Cricetulus griseus: one gene and its partners. The protein of the gene in region 1 interacts with the protein of each later gene in a pairwise test. Links are inferred from orthologs where the notes say so. Each region holds a gene or a part of one and is shown in the gene's direction. Other genes may lie near its edges. The genes, in order: Cdc42, Cdc42ep1, Pak3, Plekhg4, Arhgdia and Cdc42se1.

What was found.
Region 2: the proteins of Cdc42 (region 1) and Cdc42ep1 interact in binary tests that used the Homo sapiens proteins (3 or more experiments, as listed by UniProt). The link is inferred for Cricetulus griseus from reciprocal best matches to the Homo sapiens genes CDC42 and CDC42EP1.
Region 3: the proteins of Cdc42 (region 1) and Pak3 interact in a two-hybrid assay, tested with the Homo sapiens proteins (2 studies listed by BioGRID and IntAct). The link is inferred for Cricetulus griseus from reciprocal best matches to the Homo sapiens genes CDC42 and PAK3.
Region 4: the proteins of Cdc42 (region 1) and Plekhg4 interact in a two-hybrid assay, tested with the Homo sapiens proteins (2 studies listed by BioGRID and IntAct, with this or other methods). The link is inferred for Cricetulus griseus from reciprocal best matches to the Homo sapiens genes CDC42 and PLEKHG4.
Region 5: the proteins of Cdc42 (region 1) and Arhgdia interact in binary tests that used the Homo sapiens proteins (3 or more experiments, as listed by UniProt). The link is inferred for Cricetulus griseus from reciprocal best matches to the Homo sapiens genes CDC42 and ARHGDIA.
Region 6: the proteins of Cdc42 (region 1) and Cdc42se1 interact in binary tests that used the Homo sapiens proteins (3 or more experiments, as listed by UniProt). The link is inferred for Cricetulus griseus from reciprocal best matches to the Homo sapiens genes CDC42 and CDC42SE1.

Annotation. Positions count from the first base shown.
Region 1 is NC_048595.1:15,952,256-15,957,647, forward strand, and holds the start of Cdc42 (cell division control protein 42 homolog), read left to right. Parts: upstream 1-1,945; 5' UTR 1,946-2,067; intron 2,068-5,392. UniProt on the Homo sapiens protein: Plasma membrane-associated small GTPase which cycles between an active GTP-bound and an inactive GDP-bound state. In active state binds to a variety of effector proteins to regulate cellular responses. Involved in epithelial cell polarization processes.
Region 2 is NC_048595.1:375,939,429-375,944,472, forward strand, and holds the start of Cdc42ep1 (cdc42 effector protein 1), read left to right. Parts: upstream 1-1,557; 5' UTR 1,558-1,715; intron 1,716-5,044. UniProt on the Homo sapiens protein: Probably involved in the organization of the actin cytoskeleton. Induced membrane extensions in fibroblasts.
Region 3 is NC_048604.1:37,086,926-37,092,218, reverse strand, and holds the start of Pak3 (serine/threonine-protein kinase PAK 3), read left to right. Parts: upstream 1-1,736; 5' UTR 1,737-2,002; exon of another isoform or gene 2,003-2,012; intron 2,013-5,293. UniProt on the Homo sapiens protein: Serine/threonine protein kinase that plays a role in a variety of different signaling pathways including cytoskeleton regulation, cell migration, or cell cycle regulation.
Region 4 is NC_048596.1:181,655,455-181,660,641, forward strand, and holds the start of Plekhg4 (puratrophin-1), read left to right. Parts: upstream 1-1,542; 5' UTR 1,543-4,007; intron 4,008-4,035; exon of another isoform or gene 4,036-4,461; intron 4,462-4,523; exon of another isoform or gene 4,524-5,169; 5' UTR 5,170-5,187. UniProt on the Homo sapiens protein: Possible role in intracellular signaling and cytoskeleton dynamics at the Golgi.
Region 5 is NC_048600.1:133,067,889-133,073,063, reverse strand, and holds Arhgdia (rho GDP-dissociation inhibitor 1), read left to right. Parts: upstream 1-2,084; 5' UTR 2,085-2,219; intron 2,220-2,783; exon of another isoform or gene 2,784-2,932; intron 2,933-3,439; 5' UTR 3,440-3,461; coding exon 3,462-3,651; intron 3,652-3,768; coding exon 3,769-3,852; intron 3,853-4,072; coding exon 4,073-4,149; intron 4,150-4,235; coding exon 4,236-4,299; intron 4,300-4,390; coding exon 4,391-4,590; 3' UTR 4,591-4,675; downstream 4,676-5,175. UniProt on the Homo sapiens protein: Controls Rho proteins homeostasis. Regulates the GDP/GTP exchange reaction of the Rho proteins by inhibiting the dissociation of GDP from them, and the subsequent binding of GTP to them.
Region 6 is NW_023276806.1:61,270,091-61,274,171, reverse strand, and holds part of Cdc42se1 (CDC42 small effector protein 1), read left to right. Parts: intron 1-845; 5' UTR 846-1,104; coding exon 1,105-1,158; intron 1,159-1,820; coding exon 1,821-1,931; intron 1,932-2,776; coding exon 2,777-2,851; 3' UTR 2,852-2,865; intron 2,866-3,898; 3' UTR 3,899-4,081. UniProt on the Homo sapiens protein: Probably involved in the organization of the actin cytoskeleton by acting downstream of CDC42, inducing actin filament assembly. Alters CDC42-induced cell shape changes.

The DNA of each region.
Region 1 (5,392 bases):
TGTATCCCAGGACAGACTGAACTCTCTATGCCTTCAAGGATGACCTTTGATTTTCCTGCTTCCACCTCCCAAGCTCTGGGATCAGAGCTGTTCACCCCCATACTTTATTAAAGTGGTAGTGATGATCAAATCCAGGGCTTCGTGCATGCTAGGCAAGCACTCCACTCACTGGGCTACACTTCCAGCCTGCAAATGAACATTATTATTATTATTATTATTATTATTATTATTTGGTTTTTCAAGACAGGGTTTCTCTGTGGCTTTGGAGGCTGTCCTGGAACTAGCTCTTGTAGACCAGGCTGGTCTCGAACTCACAGAGATCCACCTGCCTCTGCCTCCCGAGTGCTGGGACTAAAGATGTGCGCCACCAATGCCCGGCTTGCAAATGAACATTATTAAGATGTTTCTTCTGATATCGGGAAGCATCTGAGACTAGGACAGGATCCCTATTCTCTAGCGGCTTTCGCACTAACAGGGAAGACAGCAAACAAACAGGTACCAAGAAGACAGGGAAGGTAGAAGGATTTGAGAGATCAGAGCTGAAGGGACTAGCACAAGACACCCCAAGTTCTCAGCACAAAGGAGATTTATTTGACCCAGGGGGACAGAGGGCAGGGAATATGAGACAAAGACAGGAGACAGAGGACCAGGGAGAAGGGAAAGAGAACAAGGGAGAGGAGGGAAGGAATATTTGTCCCAGAGGTACAAAGGACTGCCTCTGGATTGAGAGGAGACAGACATGGCCCATAGACAAACAGCAGTTTATAAAGGTAAAAGGGGGAAATCCTGAGTTAGGATGAAATTTGACTGGACAGGTTAATTAGGTAAGACAAAGGGGGGTTTTGATCGCTGGACTACAATACTTTGATAGCTGGACATTGGCAGTCAGCCTCAGGAGGAGGAAGTGGCTAAATAAGGGAATGGACCATGGTGGCTAGTTTTAGGATTATAATCTAACGATTTTTAGCAAGACAGAGGGGATGTGGGAGGACAAGGCCATGTTTGCCACACTCGGGCTGGCTAGAGTCCCTTCAAGAGTCAACCTAGGGGGCCAGGGAAGAGGAGCTAGGCAGAGTAAATGCAGGACCTTTTTGAGGGGGCGGGTCTCTAGCTCTAAACAAAACCCAGGGCAATATTCTATTCTCACTCCTTGACAGGCAGATTGTTTAGAGGCCCGTGGGCTTCAGAAAGCTGTGCACAACAAGTCTCTATTTCTCTTTGAGAAGCAAAAAAGGATGCAGGGTGTGGAGATGCATGCCTACAATCCCAGCACTTGGGAGGTGCAAGGATGAGGATCAGGAGTTCAAGGTCAACCTCTGCTACATAGTTGTGTTCAAAGCCAGCCTGGGCTACATGAGACCCTGTCTCAAACGTCATTAAAGAAAGGTACCCTGGTCATGGGGATGCACATCTTTAATCCCAGCACATAGGAAGCAGAGGCAAGCGGATCTCCAAGTTCCAGGCCAGCCTGGACCATATAGCAAGTTCCAGACAGCCAGGGCTATACACAGAAACCCTGTCTCAAAAAAACCAAGCCAAGCCAAACCAAACCAAACCAAACCAAAAAGACATCCCAGACATGGTGTTGAGTATCAGCACGCAGGAAGCAGAAGCAGGAGAATATGAGTTCTGGGACAGTCTGGTCTATATAGCCATTCTAGGACAGCAAGGGCTATATAATGACACCTTGTCTCAAAATAAAAAAATTAAAAATAAGATATATTTACAATGCTTTTCTTCACAAAGTTCCAAGGACAAAAACAAACTTTAGTGACAACACTGTGAACACTTCTGTTCATAGTTTTATTACGAATAAAAATCACTGGTAAAACGTGCAGAAAACCTGAGTATAGGAGGAACTCAGCCCGCGCGTGCGCGATACGGGCGGAGCCACTACCAAGCCACGCCCACCGCGGCCCGTTCCAGCCCCTTCTTCCTCTTTGTCCCGCCCACTTCCGCGGGCACCCAACCGTGCGTCCCCTGCGTGCTGACGTCAGGCGCGTGCCCCTGTCCGGCAGCCGAGGAGGCCCCGCGCAGTGCTGCCAACGCCCCGGCGGAGAAGCTGAGGTGAGTGCGGGGCCCGAGTAGCCTCCCCGCGGGAGTGTGTTGTGCATCGCCCGGTCCCTGTCGCGCGCCCCCGCCCTCCCTCGGTCCTCGAGGATGCTCGCGGTCGGGGGCATCCCGGTACCTGCGGGCCTCGAGGGGGGGGATTGCCGGGTTCGCGTGCGCCCGCGGGCCCGGGTTCTGAGGGGAACGAGGCGGGGTCGCGGAGAGATTTGGGGCCGGAATGGCGACGAGGCGCTGCCGGGGATGGCGGCGGCGGAGGGCGCATCCCGGCCGAGCTGTCAGTGGCGGCGGGAGAACCAGGCACACCCATCCCACCGGCTCCCCTCCCCCTCCGCCCGTCCGCCCTCCCGCCCGCCCGGGCTCCGCAGACTCCTGGACGGGGGCAGCGGACGTAGGGCCGGGTTCCGGGCCGGGGGCTGGGGGCCGGGGGCCGGGGGCCGCCGGCCGCCGTCTACGTTTTCGGTCTCGACTTCCTGCTTCCCGGGCTCCGCCGTGGACGCGTTGCTGCGGGCGGGCGGCGGGGGAGGGGAGCGGAACTGCGGCCGCAGGGCCGGGCCGGGGCCACGGTGACGGACCGGGCGGCTCTGCGCCTGCGCCCCTCGGCGGTCCCCAGCCCCGCGCTGTGTCCGTCCGCTCCTGCCCCGCGGCTCCCGGGGCTCCCGCGACTGGGCCGGCCTCCTTGCCTTCCGGGACCTGTCTAAGCACCTCCCGAAACCCCGCCTGGCCGCTTGCTCGGTTCCTCATTACTAGCAGGAAATTTTCTTTGTTGGTTTTTCTATTTTTTTTTTTTTAATTCCTCTTTCCTCCCCTTTAAGTCCCGTAGAAATGCAGTGTGGAAGATTACGTCATCTCAGCATAAGGGGTGAGAGTTTTAACTCCTACAAGTCAGGGCTCCACAAATTAAGATACATCTTGTGGCCTTAGTGGGTCACTCCACTCAGCACGTCGGTTCAGAGTCAGGTGGTGTGTTTTTTTTTTTTGTTGTTGTTGAAATCATGTTGCCTGCCTTGATGGCTGCCTGAGATGCATCTAAAATACGGAAAGGTTAAAAATCTTAGGCTTAGGTTATTTTTGGCCAGGGAATACACACTGTCTGCAGCCACTTAGGTAGGCATGAACTTTAAAGGTCCCCTTGGCTGTCTGTACTCGGTTGAACTTTCTTGTGGGAGCAATTCTTTGCCACACTGACCAATTGTGACTTAACCTGATGTAAGGAACCTAAATTTGGTGCATGGTGCTAAGGGTGAGCTAAAAAGAGAATTTAGTTGTATATCTGATTTGTCTTTGTTAGAATTGCAACTTAAAGTTGCATGCTTTAGTTTTACCATTAAAAATGGTTTTCGGATTTATTTTTTATTTTGAAACAGGGTCTCTATGTTTAGTTCTGGCTAGCCTTGACCTTAAAGGGACATTCCTTCCTTCTAAGTCTCTCTTTATAGGACTTATTTATGTTCTGTCATGGGAAACTGATAGAATAGTCCCTGCCGCCTAAGTGCTGGGATTACAGGCATGAACTACTTAAATTACCACCCTTGGTTTTAATTTTTAACCCCCAAAACTTGAGTAATATTTTTAGACTTGTATCACTAGAATTGTGTCCTTTGATTATAAAATGCAGCAGTGCTGAAGAACATTAACATTGCAGAGCAAATGAGGTCCACTTGTGTAATGCATCCTTTTAAGGGTGGCTCATGTTTGAGAAAGAATTTTCCCATTATTGCTCATTTGTATAGAAAATAGCATTGCTTGTTAAGAAACACCAGAGTGGTGTATTCAAATTGACTTTCTGTAGTTTGTAGGTATGGCGCTTGAATCTTCCAAAATACACTGTTAGTCTTTTTGTGACATAGGAGTATAACATTGGAGCATTTATTTACTACTGTATTTTTTAGCTTTCTATGTTTAAAAAGTTTATATGTGAGCCAATTTGTATTTATTTAAAAAGTTTGTGTGTGCACCAGTTTGTATTTTTTTCTTTTTAATTAAGTAATCTGGCTGGTGAGATGGTTCAGTGGATAAAAGCACTGGTCAGGCAGGTCTGACTACCTTAGTTGGATCCCCAGAACCCATGGTGGGAGGAGAGAATCCTGATTCCCAAAAGTTGTCATCTAGCTGGATTTATTTAGTGTTCCATACTTTCAATCTTAGGCAGAGGCAGGTGTATCTCTGAGTTTGAGGCCACCCTTGTCTACATAGAGAGTTCTAGAACATCAAGGACTAGAGAGACCCTGTCTTGAAAAAAGAAAAACAATAACTGTCCCAGATCTTCACATTTTGGCAGCATGCAAGCATGCATGTGTACACACTTAGAAATACACACAGTAATAATAAAAATAAGCAATTACTTTGAAGTTTTAGGTTTTAGACTAAGGCAAGGAAATAAGATTGGTAATTAACTGAGTATTAAAAAGGAGCTTTGAAAATATATACAGTAATTTGTTCAAGACCCAAAGGTGTCTTGTCTTCTGTTACATTCTCTTAAGATGTTTCATACAGTGACCAACCCCGTAGCTTAGTAAACACATTTCCCCTGTCCAGTATTCTAAGCAAGCCCATCAAGACTGAATCCTGAAGTTTACAAAATGTCAAAGTTTGTTTACTTAGGATTTCTTTTTTGCACTTGAAATAGTTTTTTAAAATGTTTTTATTCCTTCATACTTTCATACATGCATACAAAGTGTTTTATATTTTGATCATGTTCATCCCTATCTCCTTTCTCTACCACCTGATCCCTGTCCCCAATATGTTCCCCTCCCAACTCTGTGTCCTCTTTTGTGATCCACTGTGTCTAGTTAATGCTGCCCCACTTGTCATCTTATGATCTATGAAAGAAGCATTTTTATTTTTATGTGTATACTGATAAAAATAAAAAATACCCAAAAGCTATTAAATTTGGACAATTATGTACTTTGTCTTTTTTGGGAAGTAGCACTGATAGGGTTTGGAAGCACAGGTCAAATTATGCTTTGATTTATAGTACTACAATTTAAATGGAATTCTCTCATTTTAGTTGTTTTTTAAGAGTATAAGAAACATTTAATCATTTTAGGGTATAAGATCTCTTATAAAGGGGAACAGTTCATAGTGGGTGCATTTTTCTCCCATAAACAGCTCTCTGTCCCTCAGTGTTAAAGGGCTATTCTGTATTCCTATGATAGTGCCTTTTCAGTCTTTGCAAAATGTTTGCTGTCAGTTTCCCCTGATAGAACATAAATAAGTCCTGTGAATCCAGGGCTGTGACTTGGTATGGCCATCGTGTGTCCTTTTAATAAATATTTGCTAATTTGTGAGGGTTACCATTCTCACTGTTTTTCTGTGCATCCTA
Region 2 (5,044 bases), about 360 Mb from region 1:
CCTGGACAAGTCAATTCACTTTTCTGCAAAATGGACATGATGATGCAATTGTTCCCATAGGGCTCTCACAGAGATTAAATGTGATTATGAATAGTATGCATGAGGTGCTCAATAAAAGCTGGGAGATTTTTAATTGCATCTATACATGCACAGGCATCTGGCCATAGTTAAATACCCAGGCCCTGGCCTGGTTCTGTCCTGTCCGGCCTCCTCACCCATGTGCTTCAGTGCCTCTGAGTCTTGGGAACACCTCCTGATTTCCCTGGGCTGCCCTGGGGGAAAGATCTCGAACCACCTATATCTCAATCTTATCTGCATGCCAATTGAGCAAGTACTAATATGCTTTGTTTCATCATTTGTCCAGCTGGGAAAAATGGCCCTCTCCCCAGGAGACCAGTGTGATAATACAGAGAGCCAACCCTGGAAGCATAGCACTCTCCTCTGTCTGCCTCTCCTTATGGCTCCTCACCCTGCAGGGACAATGCTGCCCAGCTCTGTCCTTGCTCTATAGCTCAGAGACTTTGCCCACAGTCTATCCAGTGTGTGAACCCCCTAGGCTCTCTGTTGCTCTTTCTATTTCTTCAGGCCTTAACCTGAGTTTCCTCTCTTTCCGGGAACCTTGCTCAATATCCCAATGCCAGACTGCCTTAGGGACCTGTCTGTGCCACTTGCAACTTCCAGGATTCCTGTCTGTCCTCAAATTGAAGAGGGTACAACACGATGTAGTGGGCCATCTCTCCTTGAGCATGGCTGACTCTGTTGCCTTCTTTGAAGTAGGGAGGCCTCACTAAAGATCTCTAAGGTGTGACCTCATTTACCTGTTCAACAGCTCTCCTAGTTGCTAGAGCAGGGAACAGGAGATACTGTAATAACTGATGACTGGTTTGATAACTCCACTTTAATAGATTTGTGTGTGTGTGTGTGTGTGTGTGTGTGTGTGTGTGTGTGTGTGTGTGTGTGTCTGCGCGCACTTCCGTGCGCGCATGTGTTTATTTTGGGAACAGAACTTCCATCCTCTGGAAGAGCAGGAAGCACTCTTAACCGCTGGGCCATCTCTCTAGCCCCATGGGGAAACCGAGGCACTGAAACGCAAGGAAGGAAGAAGGGCCATACCAGCTTTAGACTCTATGACATTACCACATGCTAGTGGCCTCTCTACATGTAGACTCTTCCCTAGAGAAGCTAAGTGTTCTGCTGGCATCTCATGGGGCTAGTATTAGGTGGCCAGGACGGGGCTGAAGAGAAAGGGAAAGAGTGAATGCCCACACTTTAAAAAATCCAAAGTCTTCCAGCCAGTTCCCCCAGCTCCAGTAGGAAAGGCTAGAGACCCAGGCCAAAGTTGTCAGTCCTGGATTCCCCGAGGTCATCTGAGGAGCAGTGGGCAGCAAAGAGTCCAAGTGGCCGGCCTCTCTGGGCAGTCCCGGCTCAGGACAGAGAGAACATTTCCGAGGTCGCCCCGCCTAGGAGCGGCGGGCAGGGGCCTGGCCTGGCACCCCCGCCGCGCCCCTACAGCCCTCGCAGCGTGGCTAGCCCAGGAGGGGGCGCGGCCGCTGCAGGCGGAGCAGGGGCGGAGGGAACCCGCAGCCCGCCCCCGCCCGGGGATCCGGCCACCAAGCCCGCGGCCAGGGCGGCGCAGACCGGCCCAGCGACTCTTGGGCTGCGCAGGGACTCGCCAGCGCGCCGGTCCCTGGACCCCCCGGGCTCGACGACACGAGGTAACCACGGGCGCGGGCTGGGGGAGTGCGCACCGTCCTGGGCGCATGGGGCCAACCTGTAGAAGGCCGGGACGCGCAGATTTCTAGGGTTGTTTTGTCACGTTGCGGGAGGGCACAGGGGACCAAGGATCGGCGGACAGAGCACTAAACGAGAGGCGGGCAAAGGGCGAGCCCAGGGCCGTCTATGCGCATTCCTGCGCGGGCAGCGGAAGGGAAAGGATCCCAGGGCCCCTCGGCGGCGCCAGCGCGGTAGCGGGAAGCTGGGGGGTGGAAGGGGGAGCGCGGACGGACAGGGACAGGGCACCCTGCCCCCTCCCCAGCTGCATTCCAGACTGGAGCAACGGATGAGGTCATCCCGTCCGGTTCCCTTCTGGCCACCGCTGCCGCTGCCCGCGCCGGACCGGAGTAAGGGGCACTCCAAAGTCTCCCCTCCGAGGTCCCCAGAAGGGAATGTTTCCCGGTTGAAGTCTTTCCTGAACTTCCCATCACAACTGATTCTGCCCTTGTCCCAACTATGCAAGACTCACCAAGTTTGAAGCCCGTTTTCTAGACCGGGAAACTGAGGCTGAGAGAGCACAAAGGCAGAGTGGAGGGCTGCTTAGCTTTAATTTGGGATGCTGGGGCAAGGAGGCATCTTAGTAAATCTGTAGTGGCACCCAAGTTAATCCCAACACTTGGGAAACTGAGGCAGGAGGGTCACAATTTCGAGGTCAGCATAGACTACATTGGGAGACCTTGTCAACAAACAAAAACCCTGCGTTTTAACTCTCACTTTGCTCCCTAATGGCCCGAGGCGCCTCCTCCTGTCCTAAGGGCAGTGAAATTTAGCAGTTTACTACCCCCTTTCTGGCCTCAGTTTCCCTGTCTTCCACCTCAAAGTGCTGAGGATTTAACTTCTAATCCCAAACATCACTGGTTGGGGACATCTGAAGTAACAGAATTCCACCGTCCTGAGTTGACGTCAAAGAGCTGTACACCCCCCACCCCACCCCAATCAGGCTTTGCGCACCTGCCTGAGGGAGTATCTGGGTATTCCAAGAAGCGGCTACCTCTACCACCTGGTCCTTCCCCACCATCGGAGTGGCTTCCTTGCCTCCACATCCATCATTGTTGGCCTCTGAGTGAATGCATCCTGCTAAAGCCCCCAAACTTGTCCCTGTGGTCATTACTACCAAGGGAGCTCTTGCCACGTGTCCATACTGTTGATCAGTAAATTTAAGAGCTCCGGGGATACTGACATCTCACATGTGGCCTCTCATGCCTAGGTCATAGATGCTTAACCGCAGAGCCAGGATCCGCATTCCTCCCTCTAATAACTTCCCCACTTCTGCCATTGTCACTCCACTGGCAAAGCATTTCTGCCAGCATTGGTAGAACGGAAACAAGCTCCAGCGCGCACACTGTTTCTGTTCTGTGACCTAGGGTTCATTTTCCCCAGGTAAAATGGGTGAATTGAGCGTTTACAGGGGCTGTTTCCTGGGCTTTTGAGAAAAGGGGCCTGTGCTCAACACCCAGCACAGGTGGTGTGAATGTAAAGGCCAGGGTAGTCTGTGGCTAACACCAAGCGGTAGGTGGCTGCCACCAAGGGTCACTAGAATAAAAGATGACCCTTACTTAGGAAGTGTTGGATTTGAGCCCAGGCCTGCCTGCTCTGGGGTGGGGGAATTGAGTTTTTATGTCTTCTGCCCCTTCCTCCTTTCTCTGGCTGGGAGGCCCTTCTGTTTTCTCCATGGGAAGACAGTAGCTGAAGTTGGGCCAGGATACTCTGCTGCTGTAGATGGTATAAATGTAGAAAATGCTATCTAGATGTACCCAGAGGCATTTGGGAGGTGGCTTCATCATAAGGTTGGTCAGGGGGTTGGTCGGGGCAGGAGCCTGGAAGACACTCAGAAGTTAGAGGATGGGGGTGGGGGCTGTGTTCACATGGTAGACACAGCTGACCCCTCCATGTGCCATTTTACAAAGTGAGCCCTATCCGGCTGCACAGCTCCTTCCATTAGACTCTAAAGTTTAGCGACTAGTCTTCTGTGGAGCTGGGAAACCTGGCCGGTGTTTACCTGCCACGGGACCTTGGATGAGTCTGTTCCCTGGGCATGTCAGTGCTCTTTGTAGCCTGAGCCAGCCTTCTAGCCTCAAGGGGGTGTTGGAGAATCATCTAATGACATCATGTCATTGGTCAGCCAACAACAAGCAGAATGCTTTATAACTTCAGCAAACATTCCACGAGGACTTCTCGGAGCTGGGGGTGCCAGGGAAAGGGATGATTCAGAAGTCACCCCCCCAGGGGGGAGGAGCTAGGATTGGAGGAGGATCCGATGGTGGGAAGGAAGAGAATGCGGTCCCAAAACAAAGCAAGCTTTGTCCAGTTCTCCTCTTTGTTTTATTTTGTTAGTTAACCTATTTTGAATTTCAAATAACATAGAAGGGCTGCATTGAGAATTTTATGCTTGCAGGCGGCAACTAGGGTTGAGAAAATTTAAAAAAAAAAAAAGTTGAAACTCAGGTCTAGATCTTTATCAGTTGAACAGGTGTGTGGTGACTTGCCCAAGGTCAAAGGGTGAGCACTCTGAGTCCCCAGTCTACTCTACCCCCTCAGAAGGTGGCAGGGGGTGGTCCTCTGGCCGGAAGGTTATCTCAGCTAATGATTAGGCTGGCTGTAGATTTGGCCATGTGCTAAGCGCTGGGAGGGAGAAAGGCAGGAAAATCCAGGCATCGCCACACCCTCAAAGTGCTCAGGGAAACAAGACTGGGCCCCGAAAGCCGGCAAGGGCTTATGTGAGTCAGAAGCCCCGAGTTCAAGTTTGGACTAGCTTTTTGATGAGACCTTGAACAAGCGTGGCCCTCTCTGGGTCAAACAAAACCAGAGTATGGGCTTACAGGATCCTAAGTGCCCTCCAGACACCTAGAGAAAGAGAAGTAGGGACACAGAGGGGCCCTCTGAGAAGGGTAGGACAGCAGAGGAAGTGGGTGAGGGATCAGGAAGGACAATTGTAGGCAGGGAATAGCTTTTGGCACCCATAGGACTATTTTTTTCCCCTAAAAACGTGTTCCCCAACAAGGCTCTTCCATCAACCTGACCAAATGATAAAGCCCTTTCTCCAGGCCTTCTTAGGGCATTCAATCTGTTCAAGCGTGCAGGAGCCGGCTGGAAAAAGCCACTTCTGACCACAGGATCCTTTTTCCAGGAAGCACCTTGGAGGCAGAGGGTTCTGCTGGCTCTGTGGCAGGCTGTGTACACAGCAGTTCACAAGACCTTGGCAGGGCGCCTCCTTTCTCTTGACCTCTCCAGGTAGAATAGATTTGAACCCCCAGAGAACTGGAATATGCCA
Region 3 (5,293 bases), on another chromosome or scaffold:
TAGGGAGGAGACAGATCTAGCTTGGTGGGCAACCACTTATAAGCTTATTGCCCCTGGAAACCCAAGTGGACCATTTTCCTATTGTACTTTCTGTAGAGTCATTTCAAATTATGTTTATACCACTAGTAGCAAAATCAAAGGGATGACTGTGTCTGTGAATTGGAGATTGAGGCCTCAGATATTTTAACTCTGTTCAATCCATTAGCATGTGTGTGGCAATGTGTCAATTTAACTGAAATGCTTTTTCGAAAATCTTACTATACTTAGTATTGACTTTCTTTACCACACCAATGATTTTTAAATTTCCTTAAATAAAAAGATTTGATTTTTATTATGTGAATTCATGTGTATCTATGTGGGGGGATGTATACCTGAGTACAGGTGTCTGTGGAGACCAAAAGGAGATGTTGAATTCCCTGGAGCTGTTACACGTAGTTGTGAGCCTCCCAACATGAGTTCTGGGAAACAAACTTGGGTTCTCGGTAAGAACAATTTTTGGGGGGCGGGGGCAGAGAAATTGCTCAGTAGTTAAGAGCACTGGCTGCTCTTCCAGAGGACACTGTTCAATTCCCAGCACCCACATAACACCTCACAACTGTCTGTAACTTCAGTTCCAGGGGATCTGACACCTCCACACCTATGCACATAAAATACACTATTTTTTAAAGAGCCAATAAAGGCATTTTTTAAAAGAGCAATTTTAGTTCTTAACTGTTGAGTGACCTCTTCGGACTCTTAACTTTCTTTTTGAAATATAATTTTAAAAGAAACTTTGGCTTAACAGTATAAAACAGAGAACCTTATTCTGGATCTCCCATCTATCAGCATGTAATGTTAGACAAATCAACTTAATCTTGGTGAATTTAATTTGTTGTTTATAAGATGGGAATGATGGTATCCTCGCTGAATGGGTCACAGGGATGTTATTGCAGGGAACTTATAAATCCCAGAGTACTTTCTGAGTGTAAATCATTAGGCAAAACACTCAAAAACATTGGAGAAGTGAGTTAAAGCCAAGGCTCTAACAAAGGACTTCATCAAATATCGAATCACAAAAGAAAATTGTGCCTTTCACAACTGTTTTCTTAGCTTTAGAGATGCACACAGAACTACACTGATCTAAAGCTGAGCTTGTAATAATCAACACCCCTCTCATTATCAGGGGAAAAACAATATGAAGATTCTGTAACAGACATTCATATATCAAAGAAGCCAGGGGCCTAGATAACCCTGATGAGGAGAGAGATCTAAAAACAGGGTTGATCATATGGAACTTTGGTTACCAGCATAGAGATACAGCAATGGAACGAAAGGAGAAAATGTACAATGTCCATAAAGTTTTGGGCAATCCAATTCATGAGTTAACCCTTGTGAAGACAAAAATTATCTTCTGAGTTGTCCAAATGGCCAGCCCTGTGATCCAATCAGCCATGTGATTGTGACTTTCTTTAGGTTCTTTTCTCTTTGGGTATAGGATTTTCAGAAGTAGGTGCAGATTCAAGCTACCAGTGATTAGACAAAAAAGAAAAAGGCTAAAAGAAGGGGATTTCCCCACACCCCCTCTCCACTCCCCAGGCCCAACAGTCAGGCTTGGAAGACTTAAAGGGTTTCACTTCCGCCTGATTGCAGGAACCGCAAGTTCCAGACCAGGTCGAAATTGGAATAATCACAGTCAAAATAGACCCAGATGCTCTCACACACCCAGACGCGCGCGTGCGCGCGCGCGCATCCCTGGGCCATGGGGTGCACGTGAGCCCACAGACCGCACACCCAGCCCTGCCTCTAGCCAGAGCATCCTCAGCAGCTGCCACTGAAGCAGCCTCCTCCTTTTCTTCCTCCTCCTCCTTCCACAGCCACTGCTGCTGCTGTGATCGCCTATCCCCTCTCATCCTTCTTCCTCCTCCAATTCCTGCTCCTCCCCCCCCCCATCCCCGGCTCCTCCTGCCCAGCAGCTAAAGGCAGAACCCTCGGCAGCAGCTTCCCTTCTCCTGCCACGAAAGAGGTTGGAACAGGTCTGTGCTGGGGGCGCTTTGTTGCGGGTTGCTGAAACACCGGTGGCTCCCAGAGCCACTGGGAGGAGCTGCGGGCAGAGGGAAGGGGAGATTATTTCCCAGTTTTCTGTGTTGCTGTATGAATAGATTGTGGGGGGAGATAGGATAGAAAGACACCTCTGTCCCTTTGCCATTTCTTCCCTCTTGGTTCATGGCGAGAGAGTACTGAAGCTACTCGGACTCCTGCTCCCGCCCATCCCTAAAGCTCTTTCTCTGCGTCCCCACTTCCAGCATCCACTTCCCAAAGCTGAGCTTTCTCTTGTTCTGGGAGCTGAGGGATGGGGGTGGGGAGAGATGGATGGAGTGGATCCAGCTGGGCACCTGGGGGCCTGAGGCTTTGTTACACAGGACAAAACCGGTCCTTAGTAGTTTCCAGATCCTGGCTAGGCTGCTGTCTGCTAGTGGTGTGGGGTGTGGGCTCCTGCATACTAGGGAAGTAAGAGAATGTGAGGGGGCACTCCCTGTGTGTGACTGGGCATACAGGAATGCAGTACTGTGTGCCAGGGACGTGCTGGAGATTTTGTGTGGAATTTCGTGTGAGTTGGACTGGTGCATTTGACTCTCTCTCTCTCTCTCTCTCTCTCTCTCTCTCTCTCTCCTCTCTCTCTCTCTCTCTCTCTCTCTCTCTCACACACACACACACACACACACACACACACATACACACACACACAGTGTGTGTGTGTGTCTATGTGTGTTCTGCGCCATGGCGCTGGGCTACTCTTGGCCATTACATGTCCTTGGGTCTCATCCCATGCCAAGCCAGACTGCAGCAACATGCAGGCAGGCTGATCAAGTCCAACCTGTTTTGCCCACATTGGAAGGGTGATGTTGACTTCAAAGTGATGGGACCCCCCCGCCCCCAAGCTGGGGCAGTTGCTTGGTACTCTGTGGATTTGAAATTTCCACCTAGGTTAACCAGACCTTGGTGGACATCTTGATTTGGTCCCCCACCCCACCCACAGAAGATTCCTAACTTTCTTAGCAGGTTTTTTCTCTCAGCCAATGAGATTCAAAGGCTCTTCCAGTGAACCTTGCAGTGCCTCCCCACCTCCTGTAATTAGTGGATCCTCAAGTCGTCTTTACAGCAAGGAAGTTTGTTATGTGTTAGGACATAATTGCATGTTTAGAGAAAAAGGAACACATCCAGTGAACTTATTAATTGTGAATTTGCTCTACAGGCTCATATTTGATAAAGCATGTAGCCATTTTGTTTTTAATCACAGAAAAATCAGTAAAGATGAACAAAACTCCTTAACTTTCCTTCAACATTTTTTTTTTGCTTTTGCTTCTGATAACACATTGCTTTTCAAGTCTCCAAAACAAGCCGTTAAGGATTGCAATCAGTCAAACGACCAACATTTATTGCACACCTGCCATGTGTCAGTAGTAATGTTAGGTACTGGAAATATGGAAATGAATAAAACATCAGATCGGTTCTGAGGGAGTGTAGGCTGTTATGCAAGCTAGAGCTTGGAAACAGTATGACAAGGGATGGGCAGGGTACTGTGGAAGCTCTGGGGGGGGGTGTCAGGCTGGGGGTGGGGGTTATGATCAAGGCAAGCTTCACTGGGAAAGTGACATTTGAGTCAAGCAAGTCTTGTGGAATTAATTCACCAGGTGGCTAAGTGGAGAATGGCATCCTAAGCTCAATGAGAAGCATGTGCAAAGGCAAGGTTATAGTTAAATAAGACTGCAGGGAATCTGAAGTATTATTGCCAAATTCTCTGCAATCCCAGAATGAGTCTGTGTGGATTAGAATGATGATTAATGATGAATTTGAAAGGAGCCAGTATTGCAAATTGATGAGGATCGAAATGTATCCCCATTTTAAGAAATGTCTGCCTCATTTATTAATATAACCAGGTTTTGCTTAAAGCAAATCTGACATATATACATATATATATATATATATATATGGACTTGCAATGCAAATGAACCTAATGGGAATCATTCAGGCTGTAGAATTTGTCATTTTATAAGAGAGTTCCTAACCAGATACTCTTAAAAAAAGCAGTCCCTCTCTGGCCATTGGAGTAAACTTGGGTTTTTTTGTTTGTTTGTTTTTTGTTTTACCAAAAATGCATTTCCACAACATTTTTTACATAGCCAATGGATAAAGACAGATATACCTGCATTACATTCTTATGCAACAAGTTACCAATTTCAATGCAGGAATTTCCCTTCATGCTGTAAATGTTTAATAAACACCAAGAAAAATATGAAAATTATAGCAATAAATATCAAATCCATGTCATTTGACTCATATGAAAGTAACCAGGGCAGAATATTCAGGAATTTTTACATTTTAGGTACTTTTAGTAGTGTCACTGGTAATTAACGGTAGCACAAGATTTCTGTGCTCTATATTGGTTTTGAAATGGATATATAATGACTACTCTAATACTTATGCAATTAAGATACACCAGAAGCTCATTTGAAGTCTCCTATTTTACTGTGTTGGTGCTGATTGCATAGGTTGATGAATAGGACAGCCTGGAGGTTGATGACTTCCACTCAAAGTACCTGATGGCCCAAGATTATGCTGGTGAAGAGTGTGAACACTGATGATAGGGCTTGGCATCATGGATGCCCCCTCCTTTAAATGAGGCCTCTGAGTGGCCCTGGGTTCTGTTTGAAAGAAATAGAAGCAGAGGTGGGTGGGAGTAGAATTAGCTTCTTTGCTCATTTGGCCAATGCCCTGCAGTAATAATAGTGGCCTTGGGGTCCTTTGGTCACATGAAGGTTCTTTGCTCATTAGCCGTGGATAGCAGAATGTATCAGACAGTATCTCTAAAAAGAAAAGAATGTACCCCAGAGCCTATTATCTTGGGTTGGTGTGGAGCTGAGCTGCTGCTGTGCTGAGACTCGGATCGATGCAAGTACTAACCTAATGCTTCTAGATGTGAGTTCCAAACAAGGCAGAATGTCCCTAAGTCAGATAGAGAGAGAGGGAGAAAGAAGATAGAGTTTTGTAGTTAAAGTCGGGGAAATTGTTGTTTAAAGAGCACAGGTTTGTTCATTGCAAAGCTTCTAAAAGCCTCTACTAGGCTAATGCATATTGTGACTCTCCAGGAAAAGAGCACATGTAGCAAGCATTTCTTATGTGTTTGCCTATAAAAACCAGCGTCCCATTTGTTAGACTGGTCATAAGAGTGTTTGGGGACATGGCTGGTCAAATAGAATCTTTTGCTTAGTTTAGAAGCAGGTGGTACCTTTCTGGGTAAACTTGGATGAAAGAT
Region 4 (5,187 bases), on another chromosome or scaffold:
AGGGTTTCCTGGGCTGGTCCTCACAGGGACCCTTCTTACCACTCTCCCTGCTCTTAACCCTTTCCACTTTCCATTTCAAAAAATGGCTCAGGATCCAGTCCAGAGTTCTAGGGGATAGATCCACAAGCTTATGTCCCTTCTCTAGGGTGTCTTCCTGGACTTACTGTTGGCAGCTGTTCTTGCCCCCAAAGCAAGGGTGTCATTCTTCTGTGGACACTGGTCTCCCCTAACCTTCCTCTACCCCCCAGCATCAGGTCAGGATCAGTGCTCTGGCAATGAGGCTTTATGAGGGGCTGGTCCTCAGAATAACAGGGGTAGGATGTAGCTCAGGCCTCAGCCTTTGGCTCAACTAATGAGTTGGGTCAGCTTCAGGAGTAGTGGGAGTCTGCCTCCACATTTTGTTTTAGCCCTTTCCCTTTGCTGCCAGACATTGAGGTAATGGTGCCTCCTTTTCTAGGACTAGGCCCTGGGCCAGGCTTTAAGTCAGAGCTGCTTTTTAGCCAGTCAGCTACTCTAGGCGTGAGTCAGGAATGTTCTGAGACTTGGATCTGAGATTTCTGAGTAGGAAACAAAGAGGCCTCTGGGCTCCTATGTCTCCACCTCAAAATTTCCCAAAGGGAAAAGGAACCAGGTATCCCAGGGCCACTGCACTGTTACTATAGGGGGCTAGGATGCCTGGCTGCAATGTTTGGGGACAGTTGACTGAGTAACAGGTGGCTTTCCTGGGGTTAGCCCCTGCCTTGTGTTTTGTACCTTAAACCCAAGATACATTAAATATCTCTTAGATGGATGAGTGTCCTCTGTCCATTTGTCTCAGGCTTTCAGGGGTGGGACAAGAAGGATCTGCCTGTTCCAAGATTTTCAGGAGTAGAGAATAGTAGGGGAGTTTTTAGACAAAGCTCTTAGTCCCTCTGGTCCTCGTAAGTACTTTTCTAACAGGAGGCATGGAGTGGCAATCTAGGGGACCACTGTATGGGTTGGGGAAGAAGGTGTCTCAGAACTGGGAGTCCACAAAATGGGAAAGGACAGCAGGAAGAACACCCTGGAGGTCACAGTCTAAACTATCCAAGGGTACCATAGAGACATTTCTAGGACAGTTTAAGGACAGGTGTGAGCCAAGTGAACAAGTGGCTCTCCTCATATGACAGGTAGGAAGTCAAGCTCCAGGGAGTTGACCACCCTGAGAATTTATAAGACAAATCAAAGCAGTATGGGTCCTGAAATCTGTGGATAACAGCATTCCCCCAGTCTAATTCCTAATGTGCCTGAAGATTTTTTTTTAAAACATCTTTGAGAATAAACACCATAAAATTCACTTGTTTAAAATGTACAGTTAAATTTGTTTGTTTTGTTTTTAATATTTATTTTTGCTGGGTATGGTGGTGCATATCTTTAATCCCAGCATTCAAGAGACAAAGGCAGGTCCATGTCTATGGGTTCAAAGCCATCCTGGTCTATGTGGCAAATCCAGAGACAACCAGGGCTACATAGAGAGACTGTCTCAAACCAAGGTTTATTTTTGTTATAATTGTGTGTAGGTATGTGTGTCTGCATGTAGGTATGTACATGAGTGCAGGTACCCTCAGAAGCCAGAGGCACTGGGTCACCTGGAGCTTGAGTTGCATGTGTTTGTACACCTGGTGTGGGTGCTGGGAATCAAACTCTGGTCCTCTGGAAGAGCAACAAGTGCTTCAACCACTGAGTCTTCTCCAGCCCCAGTTTTTAGTATATTCACATAGTTGTACAAACCTTCTCATGATATAAGAATAGAACATTTTCATCATTCCCCCATGAAGTTCTGTACTGACATCTCCCCTCATCCCACCCACCACACATCCATAGGCATTCTCTAGCCCACTTTTCATGTCTCTGAGTCTGAGGACCTTGGAACACATCAAAAACCCACAGGCTTGGTCAACTTTTTTTTTTTTTTCTGTGCATGAGAAAAAGGTAGAGAAGGAAGAGTGACAGCTTTATATTCAAGTTTGCTAACAGCTGGTTGATAGGGCTTGATAGTTAATTAAAGTACTTAACAATCCGGAGTCAATCCTAGCTGTTACTATCTATATCATCGGGGCCTGTTACCCTAAGCTTTTTGAGACTTGGTTTTCTCTTCTATAATAGGATGGTTGAAGCAATGTGTAGTGGCAAAATGCCTTTAATCCCAACACTGGGGATGTGGAAGAAGGTGGATCCCTGTGGAGTTGAGGCCAGCCGGGTCTACATAAAAAATCCCAGGCTATCGAGAGGTACACAGTGAAATCATGTCCCATAAACAAAACAACAATAACAAGGGTTAACAATTATATTTAGTATCTCATAAGATTACAGGTAGGATTAAAATGGGAAGGAATTGTCCTAGCCCTGGCTCTGTGGGAACAAATGGTAAGTTTTTACTTTATCGTGTTTATTCTGCAAGGCAAAGATGCGTGGAGAATGCTGTGGCTCTTTGAATTCTGGGAAGAAGGGGGATAGGAAGAGTAGTAGATTGTGGAAGCTTAAGTAGTGGATTCCAAGAAAGGGAAGCTAGAGATGGAGGGGCACTCCGGAGGCTACTTCAGCAGCACAGTAGGTGAAGAGGACGAAACAATAGGCAATTGTTTCCACTGCTTTTTAGTGTCAGGATAACTGGGGAGCTGGCCCAAGCATGGAGATTCCTGAGCCTACTCCAAAGTGTCTGATTTTTGGAGCCAAGCTCTCACTATGTAACCCTAACTAGCCTGAAACTTGATATGTAGACCATGCTGGCCTCAAACTCACAGATCTGCCTGCCTGCACCCTCCCCACCCCAGTGCTGGGATTAAAGGCATGTGCCACTATGCCCACCTACTCCAAGAGTTTTGATTTAGCAGATCTCTCTAGGCCCAAAAAGCTAGGGAGCACATCTTGGAAAGTGGGAAAAGGTGCCAGGCATTTGCTCTGTAGGAGCAAGCAAGTCAAGAGTTTGTCCACTTGACTGGACAAAATGACATGGGTGGTTATGCTACTTGGGATGTATGGAGAGGACTGTTGGATCTAGGCCTTAAAGAGGAAAGTGTGTGTGTGTGTGTGTGTGTGTGTGTGTGTGTGTGTGTGTGTGTTCAGAAGCTATCCACTTTGAATTAACATAGGTCTCTCATGAGCCTGGAGCTTGCTAACTAGGCTGGGCTGACTAGCTAGTGAGCCACAGGATCTGCCTGTCTCTGCCTCCTCAGCAAAAATTACAAGTGTGTGCTACTATGTTTAGCTTTAAAAAAAAAAAAGCCCTGAGGATCAAACTCAGAGCCTTATGCTTGTAAGGCAAACACATTACCCACAGAGCTATCTCCCCAGCTTCCCTCCATCTAAAAAAAAAAAAAAAAAAAAAAAAAGACAGGACCTTGTTATGAAGCTCTGTCTTACTGTCTTGCCTGGAACTTTTTTACTTATGTAGAGCAGGCTAGCCTTGAACTTGTGATCTTCCAGCCTTTTTATCTCAAGTAGGTGAAGAGGCATGTACCACAGCACCAGGCTAAAAGGAAGGATTTTGAGGATGATGAGGGTCTTCAAAATCAGAGAAAGTAGCATGAAACAAAAGACTTAGTCAGCTGCGTTTCCAAGAGTGGTCTGGGAGTTAGGTAAAAAGTGATGCCTCTGGGGAACTTGAATGCCATACTAAGGAGCCAAGAAAGGGGTTATTTAGGTCAAAGATGAGAGGGGTCTGAGGTTGTCTTTGCTGTTTACAGTCGCACTGAAGAAGGGTAACCAGAATTTAAGTAATTATGGTATTGCTCCTGTATCCCCAAGCCTAACAAAGCCCAGAGGTCACTTTTTTCTTTCTTTTTACTTTTTTTTAAAAAAATTGGTCATGTGTGAAGAAAAGACAGTCAGGAGAGGACTAGTGAAGGAGCAGGGGAGGGGCCTGTCCACATTTGACGATCTCAGTGGAAAAGGCTTCAGCAGCCAGCAGAACCAGAGATGGCTTCCATGAGTCACGGTTCAGACTTGCAAGCTCAGCCCACAAAGCCTGCTGTGGTCAGCCACCCCAGGTTGGCTCTAGGCCTAGTCCCCCAATGTCCCCCACTAGGCCAGTGTCTGTCCCTGTTTCTGTTTGTGCCTTTACCATCCCAGATTTGTTTGTCGTACAGCCCTCTGCCTCTTCTGTCTGGGTCTGTCTCTATCAGTGACTTTCTCTAACTCTGGTTTCCACATGACCCACAGATGGACAGTTCAGGGCGGTAGGGGCATTGTGACTAGTCTTAGATACCCCTAAATATTAATTCTGTGCCAGGTCTGAAGTGCAGAGCTAGAAGTATGAAAGTGGACAGCATACAGTCTGCTTACAGGGCACATTCTATGTGGAATGGGAAAGCCACAGCCTAGTCCTGCCTCTATCTCAGCATGTGTGCCCTCCCCCAACTGCCTGCTGTGCTCCATGGGCCCAGGTTAGCTAGGGCCTACCTATGCCTGATGCCTCTTATTTGCTTCCATCACTCTGACGGGGTATGTACCTGCCAGAAGGTCCCTCTACTTCTTACAGCTCCTGGGGGCCTGGCTGGTGGGTGGAGGTGAGCCTCAGAGTGGAGAGGGAGGAGAGGGAAGAGAGGGACGGGGAGGCAATGACTCAGTGGGGGTGGCCTGGGACAAGAACCAAGGACAGAAGCCAAGACTGGACCCAATGCTCCCTGAAACTAGAGGAAGGAGGGACAAAAGGCATGGTTGGGGGGCGGGGACCAGAGTAGGACAACTCCAAAGCCAGCCCTGTTCCTTTGCTCTTCAGAATCTGCCTAAGAGTCTGAGATGGACAGGGGAACTGCTGTTGTTTCTACCATGGTTGCAGCTAATACCTAGATGCATGAAGGATCCGCCTGTCTTAGAGCCAGGGAAAGCATGTCCAGTGTCCTTTCCTCCCAGGGACCAAGGGCATGGTGTGAGGCTAGGTGCCTTCTTCTGGTCACATAGCCAACCTTCTTACAATCTCCCCACAAATTCAAAAGTGCTAGGCCAGGCGCACTTGCTCCAAAAGGAATTCAGACCTCAGAGCTGAGAGCAAGGAGGAATCTCCCAGCTACCTGGGTGTCTTTCATCAGTTCAAGAACCCCTAAGGGTAAAAGAAGAAAGCTGGGCATGAACACAGACATCTGACACATCAGGCCTTCCCTGGTCTATCTGACAAGCCCAGGAGAAAAGAATGGCATTCTTGTTTTACAGAAGAGGAAGATGAGGTGC
Region 5 (5,175 bases), on another chromosome or scaffold:
TTTAAGTGCTCAAATCTTACAAATTATGGTGCAAATGAAAAGAATTCACAATATAATCAGGGAAAATATTTACTGGGCTTTTAAGATTTTTGTTAATTTTTTTCTTCAAATGTCAATCACCCTTGCTATGAAAAAGCTTTGGAGGCTGGGCAGTAGTAGCACACACCTTTAATCCCAGCACTCGGGAGGCAGAGGCAGGCGGATCTCTGTGAGTTCGAGGCCAGCCTGGTCTACAGAGCAAGTTGCCAGGGGACAGAGGTAGGCTGGAGAGATGATAGCTCAGCAGGAGGTCCTCTTTCAGAGAGGTCTCAGGTTCAATTCCTAGCACTCACTCGGTGTCACTCACAACTAGTCTAATTCCAGTTGCAGAGCTCTTCTGACCTCTGTGGTTGCTGCATACACACGGTGCAGACACACACACACACACAGACAAAACACTTATATGCAGGAAATAAAAATAAATCCAAAAAGTAAAAAGGCCAGGTGGTGGTGGTGGGTTGCTCGCCTTTAGTCCCAGCACTCGGGAGGCAGAGGCAAGAGGATCTCTGAGTTCAAGGCCAGCCTGGTCTACAGAGCAAGTTCCTGGGCAGACTCCAAAGCTACATACAGAAACCCTGTCTTGAACAACCAAAAGAAAAATATTTAAAAAATTAAATAAAAGAGAAGCCGCTTTGGAAGATTTGCACTTGGAGCCAAGTGCTTCAAACTAAGGAGTTGTGGGTGGGTCAGAGTTCAATAAACTAGGCCCACTGGGTGCAGGACTTCGAGCCTCCTGAAAAGCTAGCTTGACTCACTGGGCGTGTTTGCGTGCGTGTGTCTCTCTGTGTGTGTCTCTGTGTGTGTGTCTGTGTGTGTCTGTGTGTGTGTGTCTGTGTGTGGTGTGCGTGCATGTCTGTGCGTGTGTGTCTCTGTGTGTGTGTGTGTCTGTGTGTGTGGTGTGCGTGCATGTCTGTGCGTGTGTCTCTGTGTGTGTGTCTGTGTGTGTGTGTGTGGTGTGCGTGCATGTCTGTGTGTGTGTGTGTGTGTGTGTCTGTGTGTGGTGTGCGTGCATGTCTGTGCGTGTGTGCGTGTGTGTCTCTGTGAGGGTGTGTGTGTGGTGTGTGTGTGCGTGCGTGTGTGTCTGTGTGTGTGTCTCTGTGTGTGTGTGTCTCTGTCTGTGTGTGTGTGTCTGTGTGTGTGTCTCTGTGTGTGTGTGTGTCTGTGTGTGTGTGTGGTGTGCGTGCATGTCTGTGCGTGTGTGCGTGTGTCTCTGTGTGTGTGGTGTGTGCGTGTGTGTCTGTGTGTGTGTCTCTGTGTGTGTGTGTCTGTCTGTGTGTGGTGTGCGTGCGTGTGTGTGGTGTGCGTGTCTGTGTGTGTCTGTGTGTGGTGTGCGTGCGTGTGTGGCAAGCGGACTCCATCACAGAGGAAGAGTGGGGACAGTCAAGTGGTGACAGCGTTTGGTTTTGCAGTAGTTTGCCACTGAGCAGCAGGGAGAGGACACTGCGGAGCCATCTTCCTCGGACGAAGAAAACAGTGCATGAAACGGTTACGCTTGAAAGGACACCTGGCTTGCTTCAGAGTTGGGGATGCGTGGCCAGGGGAACAAGTGCTCGCGTGACGTAACGAGGCCGTAAACGTGGCGGATGAACGGCGGGCGACTGTTTCCCTCCAGTCATCTTTTCAGCGCGGTGGCGGACGCCCAGGGCGGCAGCGGTGCTGGCTCTCGTCCCTGCGGAGGCTCCTGCCCGTCTCGGGGTGAGCCGGCCCCGCGGGGCGCGGCGAGGGGAACTCGTGGGGACCCCAGAGGGCCACGGCCCGCGAAGCCACGCGCCCGGCGGCGCGAGCGTGCGTGCGTGCGTGCGTGCGTGCGGCGCTGCCATCTCTGCGTTGCAGGGACAATGGGGGACGAGGCCCGGGCGCGGCGGCCGCGGAACCCGGGCGGCAGAGCGGCCGCCCCGGAGCCCAAGGGCCCGGGCCTCGGCCCACACGCGCCGCGGACGCCCCTCGATGCCCCGCGCGACGCCGCCGGCCCACGCGCGACGCGCCCACGAGGCCGGCCGCAAAATGGCGGCGGCGCCGACCGGCGCCCCCTGCCGGCGCATGCGCACGGCGCCCCCCGCCCGCACGCCCGCGAGAGCGGAAGTCTTGTGACCCCGGAAGTGACCGTCCGGGCGGCGGGCGGCGGACGACGTTCGTCACTTGGTGCGGGAGGGAGCGCGAGAGCGACGGTCGAGCCTCCGGTGAGTGGCGCGCTGCCTGGCGCGGGGCGGCGCGCGAGGGGAGGGGGCTGGCTTTGTGCGGCGACCCCGGCGCTCGCGGGCCGGCGGGCGGGCGGGCGTGCGGCGGGCCCCGGGCGAGCGCGGGCGGCGGGCGCGGTCACGGCAGCGGGCGGGCCGGGCGCCTTCTAGGTCCTGCCCGAAGCGCCGCCGCTGCCCGGGCCTGGGCGCCGCGTCCCGGTCCCGGGTCCGGGTCCCGGTGCGGGTCGGGGGCGGGGGCGCCCTTTCCCGGCCGCGCGGGCGGGGTCCGGCCTGGGGCCCGCCCGGCCTGCCGCTCCCGCCGCGCGGCCCCCCCCGCCCTCCCGGATTGCGGGCCCTGCGGAAGCGCGGGCCGCGCCCTGGATGCTGTCGCCCGCGGCCACGCTTGGCCGCGTCGGGCGGGGCCTCCGGGACCCTCCGGGTGTCGGGCCGGCGCTCCCCCCGAGTCTCTGGCGCACGCCTCCCAGAGGGGCGGCGGCTGCCCCGACCGCCGCGCATCGCCTGCAGGGCTCGAGTGGGTGTCTGGGGGACGGGTGGGGATCTGCGGAACTGAAAGGCACCGAGGCGCTTCCGTCCCGGCGTGGTTCCGCACCGCCACAGACGCTTTAGGACCAGGGTCCAGCAATGGGCTCCTGAGATTTATTTTGCAACCGGTGCACCAGCTCCCACTCTGCGTTCGCGGACCCCTCACAAGGGAGGTCGGGCTTGCATATTTACCGTCTCATTTGGTCGCCACGCAGTTGAGCTTAGGACGGTATTCCACCGGCAGGAAGGAACAGACCCTTGTCCTGCACGTGGCTAGGACACAGAGCATCCCCGTTTCAGAGAACTTCTCCCCGTGACCCAGTGAGAGTGTCTTTGGGTTAGATCCCGGGCATCTAGGGGCAGCAGCAGGACCCACGTGGTTTAACGTTGCTTCTCCCAGTTCCGTTTGGTCAGGAGGCTACTCATTCTTCATGGGGAGGAAAGCTGTTCTGCTTCTCTGAGGAACGGGCTGTGGTCCCCATTTTGTGGCTTCATGGTGTGCCTGGGGTGTAGCCCTCTCAAACGAGCCTCTTGAGTTAGTTGGGCAGTGGCAGCGCCTCCTATCTCCTCTAAAAGTTGCCCTGGCGTGGCTACCTCCATCATTTCCCGGCAGGTGTCAGGGTCCCTCTAGGTTGCAATGCCTCCGGGCTGTCACCGCTCTGCTCGCTGCCCACCCACAGGTATCCCAGGTTAGAGGTGAGCATGGCAGAACAGGAGCCCACCGCTGAGCAGCTTGCGCAGATCGCGGCCGAGAATGAGGAGGATGAGCACTCTGTCAACTACAAGCCCCCAGCCCAGAAGAGCATCCAGGAGATCCAGGAACTGGACAAGGATGATGAGAGCCTTCGAAAGTATAAGGAGGCCCTGCTGGGCCGAGTGGCTGTCTCTGCAGGTAGGTGGATGTCACCTGACCCTGTCACCACCCCCTTTCCAGTCTGCCCCCCTCCTTCCAGGGAGTTAAAAAAAATCTAAGGAATGGAGCTCTTGATTCATGACTCTTGCTCTCCAGACCCCAATGTCCCCAATGTCATTGTGACCCGCCTGACCTTGGTGTGCAGCACGTCCCCGGGCCCTCTGGAACTGGACCTGACAGGTGAGTGGGTTTTGGAGTCCCTGGGTGGGGCCAGCTGGCATCCAGCCGCTGCCCCTAAAAATAATTTTCTGCACTGGTGCCCTCTGGTGGGGCAGGGGGGAAAGTGCAGCTAGGTGCTCTCCAAGGCCCTGCTTTGTGTCACGGAAGGGGCTGTGGAAAGGGAACGTGGGGGCAGGATGGAAAGCCTCCAGGCAATTGGCTGTGCCTCCTCCCCATACAGGTGATCTGGAGAGCTTCAAGAAACAGTCGTTTGTGTTGAAGGAAGGTGTGGAGTACCGGATAAAAATCTCTTTCCGGGTAAGGTGGAGGATTGGAGAGGCCTGGCAGAGGGGCAGAGCATCAGCACTGGGGGGCCGGCTGACCCTTGCTCTGTGTCCCCACAGGTGAACAGAGAGATCGTGTCAGGCATGAAGTACATCCAGCACACATACAGGAAAGGGGTCAAAAGTAAGTGGTCGTACCGATAGAGTGGGAAGCCTGTGGGTCCCGGGAGGGGCTTGCGTGGCCACTAACCATGCCTTTCCTGTCCACACCACAGTCGACAAGACCGACTACATGGTCGGGAGCTATGGGCCCCGGGCTGAGGAGTATGAGTTCCTGACACCCATGGAAGAGGCCCCCAAAGGCATGCTCGCTCGGGGCAGCTACAACATCAAGTCCCGATTCACAGACGATGACAAGACGGACCACCTGTCCTGGGAATGGAACCTCACCATCAAAAAGGAGTGGAAGGACTGAGCTCCAGCTGGGAGGCGGGCAGGGCGGCGGACAGACAGAAGGACCGACATGCCCCACCCCCAACCCCTACCCACCCCAAACCAAAGTGCTGACAGGACCCTCCCTCACCATTCCTCCCCTCTTCTGTCTGCCCCTCCTCCACCTCCTGCCTGCAGGCCCCTGTGGTCTCCAGTGTTGTCACATTGCTGCTTCTGCCTGTGCAGTGGGGGAGGGGTTTCAGCCCAGGCCTCCAATCTGCTGTGTCCCCCAGGTTTCCTCTGTCGTCCCTTCCTCAGGCCCTGGCTTCTAGAATGGAATGGAACACTGTCTGGGTTGCCCAGCCCACCTTGTCTCTGCCCCAGCTGAGCTAGCTAGAATGCTGGGCCTGGGGGAAGGGCTGGGTTGTGTCCTCTAAGCACCACCCCCCCTGGCCAGGTCATCCATCACTGTCAGTCACTGTCTAACCATGATGCCTTAACATGTGGAACATGTACTGGGGGCCGTCGCTAACTCTTAACTCCACTGTCTGCATGAGCATGTGGTCTCCCCTGTCCTTGCCTTGTCTGCCATCCCCATCCTGGTGACCCACCCAGGGAGGCCTGGAGT
Region 6 (4,081 bases), on another chromosome or scaffold:
GGAGAAGGAAGAGAGCCAGTCAGAGCAGGGGTGGGTGGTGGTGAGCCTTACAAGGTTGTAAGACACCAAACTGCACACGATGGGACACTCGAAAAAGGGTGGGGAGGCTGCAAATGATTCCTCAGAACAGAGAGTGAGTCCACACATTACGTGTACAAGACATGGAGCTAGGGCCACGGATAGGTGCACACACAGTCTACACAGCTTTCCGGAAAGGCAAGGTCAGATATTAACTCCAAATGGACTCTGGGAGGCCCGACCTCAACTGGGACAAGTGAGGAGGAACAAAGGCAATGGAGTGAGAAGGAAGAAATTCCTCACTCCATAAGTATTTGTTGAGGTTCACACTGATAGAGTTAGTGTCATAGGAACTAGGTGGTCCTTAAAGAAAATTTAGGTGCTGGGGCAAGGTAAGAAAACAGGGAGGGACAGGGTGGAGGCCTTGTTTGTGAGAACAAAAACCACTATTTCCTCTTCGGAGTCACTTATGTGCCCCTCCCCTCCTGCCCTAACCCAGGAAAAGGGGAGCTGAAGTTGGTAGCACCCCTGCATTCATTTCTGCCACTTTTCATTTTCTCTCACTGTCTCATCCAAAGTTCTCTTAGCTCCCTTCTTCCTTAGTCCCAGTAGTCATTGCCCCTTACCCTGTTGATGGTCTTTTTGCACTGTTTATTGTGAGAAGCCACTGTGAGCCTTCTGTGTTTGGAGGGGGTCAGGAGTGGGGTACCAGTAGTAAAGCCTCCGAGAGAGAAGATGGAGGCTTAGCAGAAGGTCTCTGGGAAATGGGAATAGGGAGGGATGTTTCTCACTAACAGTTTTTTTTTTTTCTTTCTGCTAAAATTCAGGAGTCTACATCTAAAGAAGACAGAACCTTGTGCCTGCCTGCCCAAGCCTCTTGCTGATGATTTTAGTGGCTTCGGGTCTGAGACTCCAACTTTCACTGCACGGCTAAGGGTCTCTATGATTCCCACATTTCTAGAGCCATCCAGCTGAGTGAACCCAAGGCTTATTATACCTGAGAACAAGGACTGGGTGATTAGCAACAAAACAAGAGCCCTCTCTGGGGCCTCTGGCAGAGGCCTGAAGCTGGAACCATCAGGGAATATGAGTGAATTTTGGCACAAACTGGGCTGCTGCGTGGTAGAGAAGCCTCAGCCGGTAAGTCTTCTGACCCCACCCGACACACAGGAATTAGTTACCATGTGCCATGAAGTAGACCGCCATCTCTGCTCTGTCTTGTGAAAAACCCTTTTCTCACATACCTCTTGAGAGTGTCTGTGGCAGGGCAGGTGTGTTCACGTGCAACAAAGGAGACTGTGTGACAGAAGAGTTGACTAGTTCTAGCTGTCACCTCCTCCTGTTCTGAGGTGGGCAGGAGTTGTAGATAGAACTTAAGAGCTGTCAGTGTCCCCTCATCATCTAGAGGTGACTTTGCTTTGTCCTTTTTCTTTCTTTTTGGTTTTTCGAGACAGGGTTTCCGCTGTGTAGCTTTGGAGCCTATCCTGGCACTGGCTGTGGAGACCAGGCTGGCCTCGAACTCTCAGAGATCCGCCTGCCTCTGCCTCCCGATTGCTGGGATTAAAGGCGTGCGCCACCAACGCCCGGCTGGCTTTGTCCTTTCTTTGTGTGTTCACTCAGCAGGCCATGTCCTTACCACTCTGGTGACATTGTCTCTGATTTGTTATTCCAACTTTGTCTTTCCTACCCTGATGTTTGCCAGTTACACTGCCAAATCAACCCTTAACTCTTAGTGGTTTTTCCCCATCCTCCATGGGGGGAAGGAGATGGCTGCATGTGTGACTCCTTTCCTCTCCAAACAGAAGAAGAGGCGAAGACGGATTGACCGAACCATGATCGGGGAACCAATGAATTTTGTTCACTTGACTCACATTGGCTCTGGAGAGATGGGGGCTGGAGACGGACTTGCCATGGTAATGAGAGAAGGGGGAGGTGTTTATTTGGGGGTGTAGCCAAGTGAGGGACATAACAGTACTCAATGGAAAAACAAGGATATTAGACTGTAGACCTGGTCCCCAATGGTGTGCATTTCTGATCTCTAGGGCTGGCTCCCTCTTTACATATGGCTCTTCATTGGAGTGAGGGGTATGTATGTTGTCATAGTTGGAGAGCTTCTCAACCATGGCTCTCCTTACTGAGAACTAATCAGATCTAGGCTGTAGTTCAGTTGGTAGAGTGTTCTCCTCGAATGCAGGAAGCTCTAGGTTTGATCTCCAGCTCGGCAGAAACTGGGTGTGGTGACTCCTACCTGTAACCTCCGCACTGGGAACTAAGGATTGCAGGCTCAGGGTCATCCTGCATAGGGAGTTTGAGGCTAGCCTGGCCTAGAGACCCTATCCCGAAATAGAAAAGGAAAACCTGTTGAATCAGTGTCAGAGTGATGCATTGTGACTGGGAGTCTTGGGCCCACGAAAGGCTCTGTTCTAAATGTCTCTAGTGCATTTCTGCTCTCTGTAAGGGAGATGGGTCTGAACATAGTTTTTTAATACTGGTTACAAAACTAAGAAAAAAATATTGTGTGTGTGTGTGTGTGTGTGTGTGTGTGTGTGTGTGTGTATCTCATTAGTAAATGACTCAGTTTTACCTTGTCTTCATGAGACTTCTCTGAGAACAATGGTGGTCAGGTTTAAAGTCTTCAGACGGATGTCGTTGTCAGAAAAGAGATGAGGTCAAGCCCCTCCTGGGGGCACGGGGTAAATTGTTGCTTGTTGTGGAATGCAGAGAGTTAGGTGACTGTGTGACACATGCTTTTCAACAGACAGGTGCAGTTCAGGAGCAGATGAGATCCAAGGGAAACCGAGACAGACCATGGAGCAATTCTAGGGCTTTGTAGTTCCCATGGGACTGGTAAGTGACAAGAGAAACCCATTGACACTGTGCGTGTGCCAGCATGTCCTGTTGCCCTGCTTCGGACCTTTAATCCTTTGATTCTAGACTGAGAAGTGAATTGGTGGAAAGAATTACAATGGAAGTTCAGGAACACAATCTTTACAGGAATGGGGTGGGGGGCATGATGGCACCCATAGTCCCGGCACACTGGAGGTAAAGGCAGCAGGAATAAATAGTTCAAGCTTCTCTTCAACAAATAGTGAAGCGAAGGTCAGTGTAGGCTACATGGTACCCCCATCTCAAAAAGACAAAATTTGAGGAAAGAGCCTTACAGAAATTTCAAATGTGCACTATAGACTGGACATGGTGGTGCACACCTTTGCCCAGCACTGGGGGCAGAGGCAGGGGATCTCTGCAAATCTCTGTAGGTTAGGACTACATAGTGAGACTTGTCTCCTAGTACTCCCCCACAAAGATATGTACTATATAGTGCTGTCTCCTTCAGGATTTGTTTCCTTTTTTCTTTTTTTTTTTAAGATTTATTTATTTATTTATCATGTATGCAGTATGTGATAGAAGAGGGCATCAGATCACATTACAGATGGTTGTGAGCCACCATGTGGTTGCTGGGAATTGAACTCAGAACCTCTGGAAGAACAGTCAGTGCTCTTAACCATCTCTCCAGGCCCAGGATTTGTTTTCTTTGAGAGCAGACTGCCTTTTTCTTCTCCAGTGGGGTTTTGGTAGGTAGCTGAAGTGGCTTAAATTCACTTTGTAGCCCAGGCTGGTTTTAAATTTGGGGTCCCCCTTCCAGAAACTTTCAAGAGCTAGGACTACAAATGTGTACTATTGTGTCTATCTCTAGATCGTCCTTTAAAAAAAAAAAAAAAAAAAAAAAGTTGTTTGGCCAGACACTGCTTCATGCCTGTAATTCTAGCACTTCAGAAGTTGAGGCAGGAAGATTTCTGTGTGTTTGAGAGCAGCCTGGGCTACAGTGTGAAACCAATAGTTGATTTTTTTTTTTTTTTTTTTTTTTTTTTTTTAAACTCAGGTTCTGCAGTCTTGAAGTTCTGGTTCCATGTCCAGCCCAGAAGAAATGCCACCCTCACCAGGTCCCTTCTACAACCAGTGACCCAAGAGCCCCTCTCCTCCTCCTCGTCCTAACAAGTGCCTCAAAAGGCATGGGGGCTGGACTCCCTCTACCCCCTCTGGCCTCTGCCCCTCCTGGAGATGG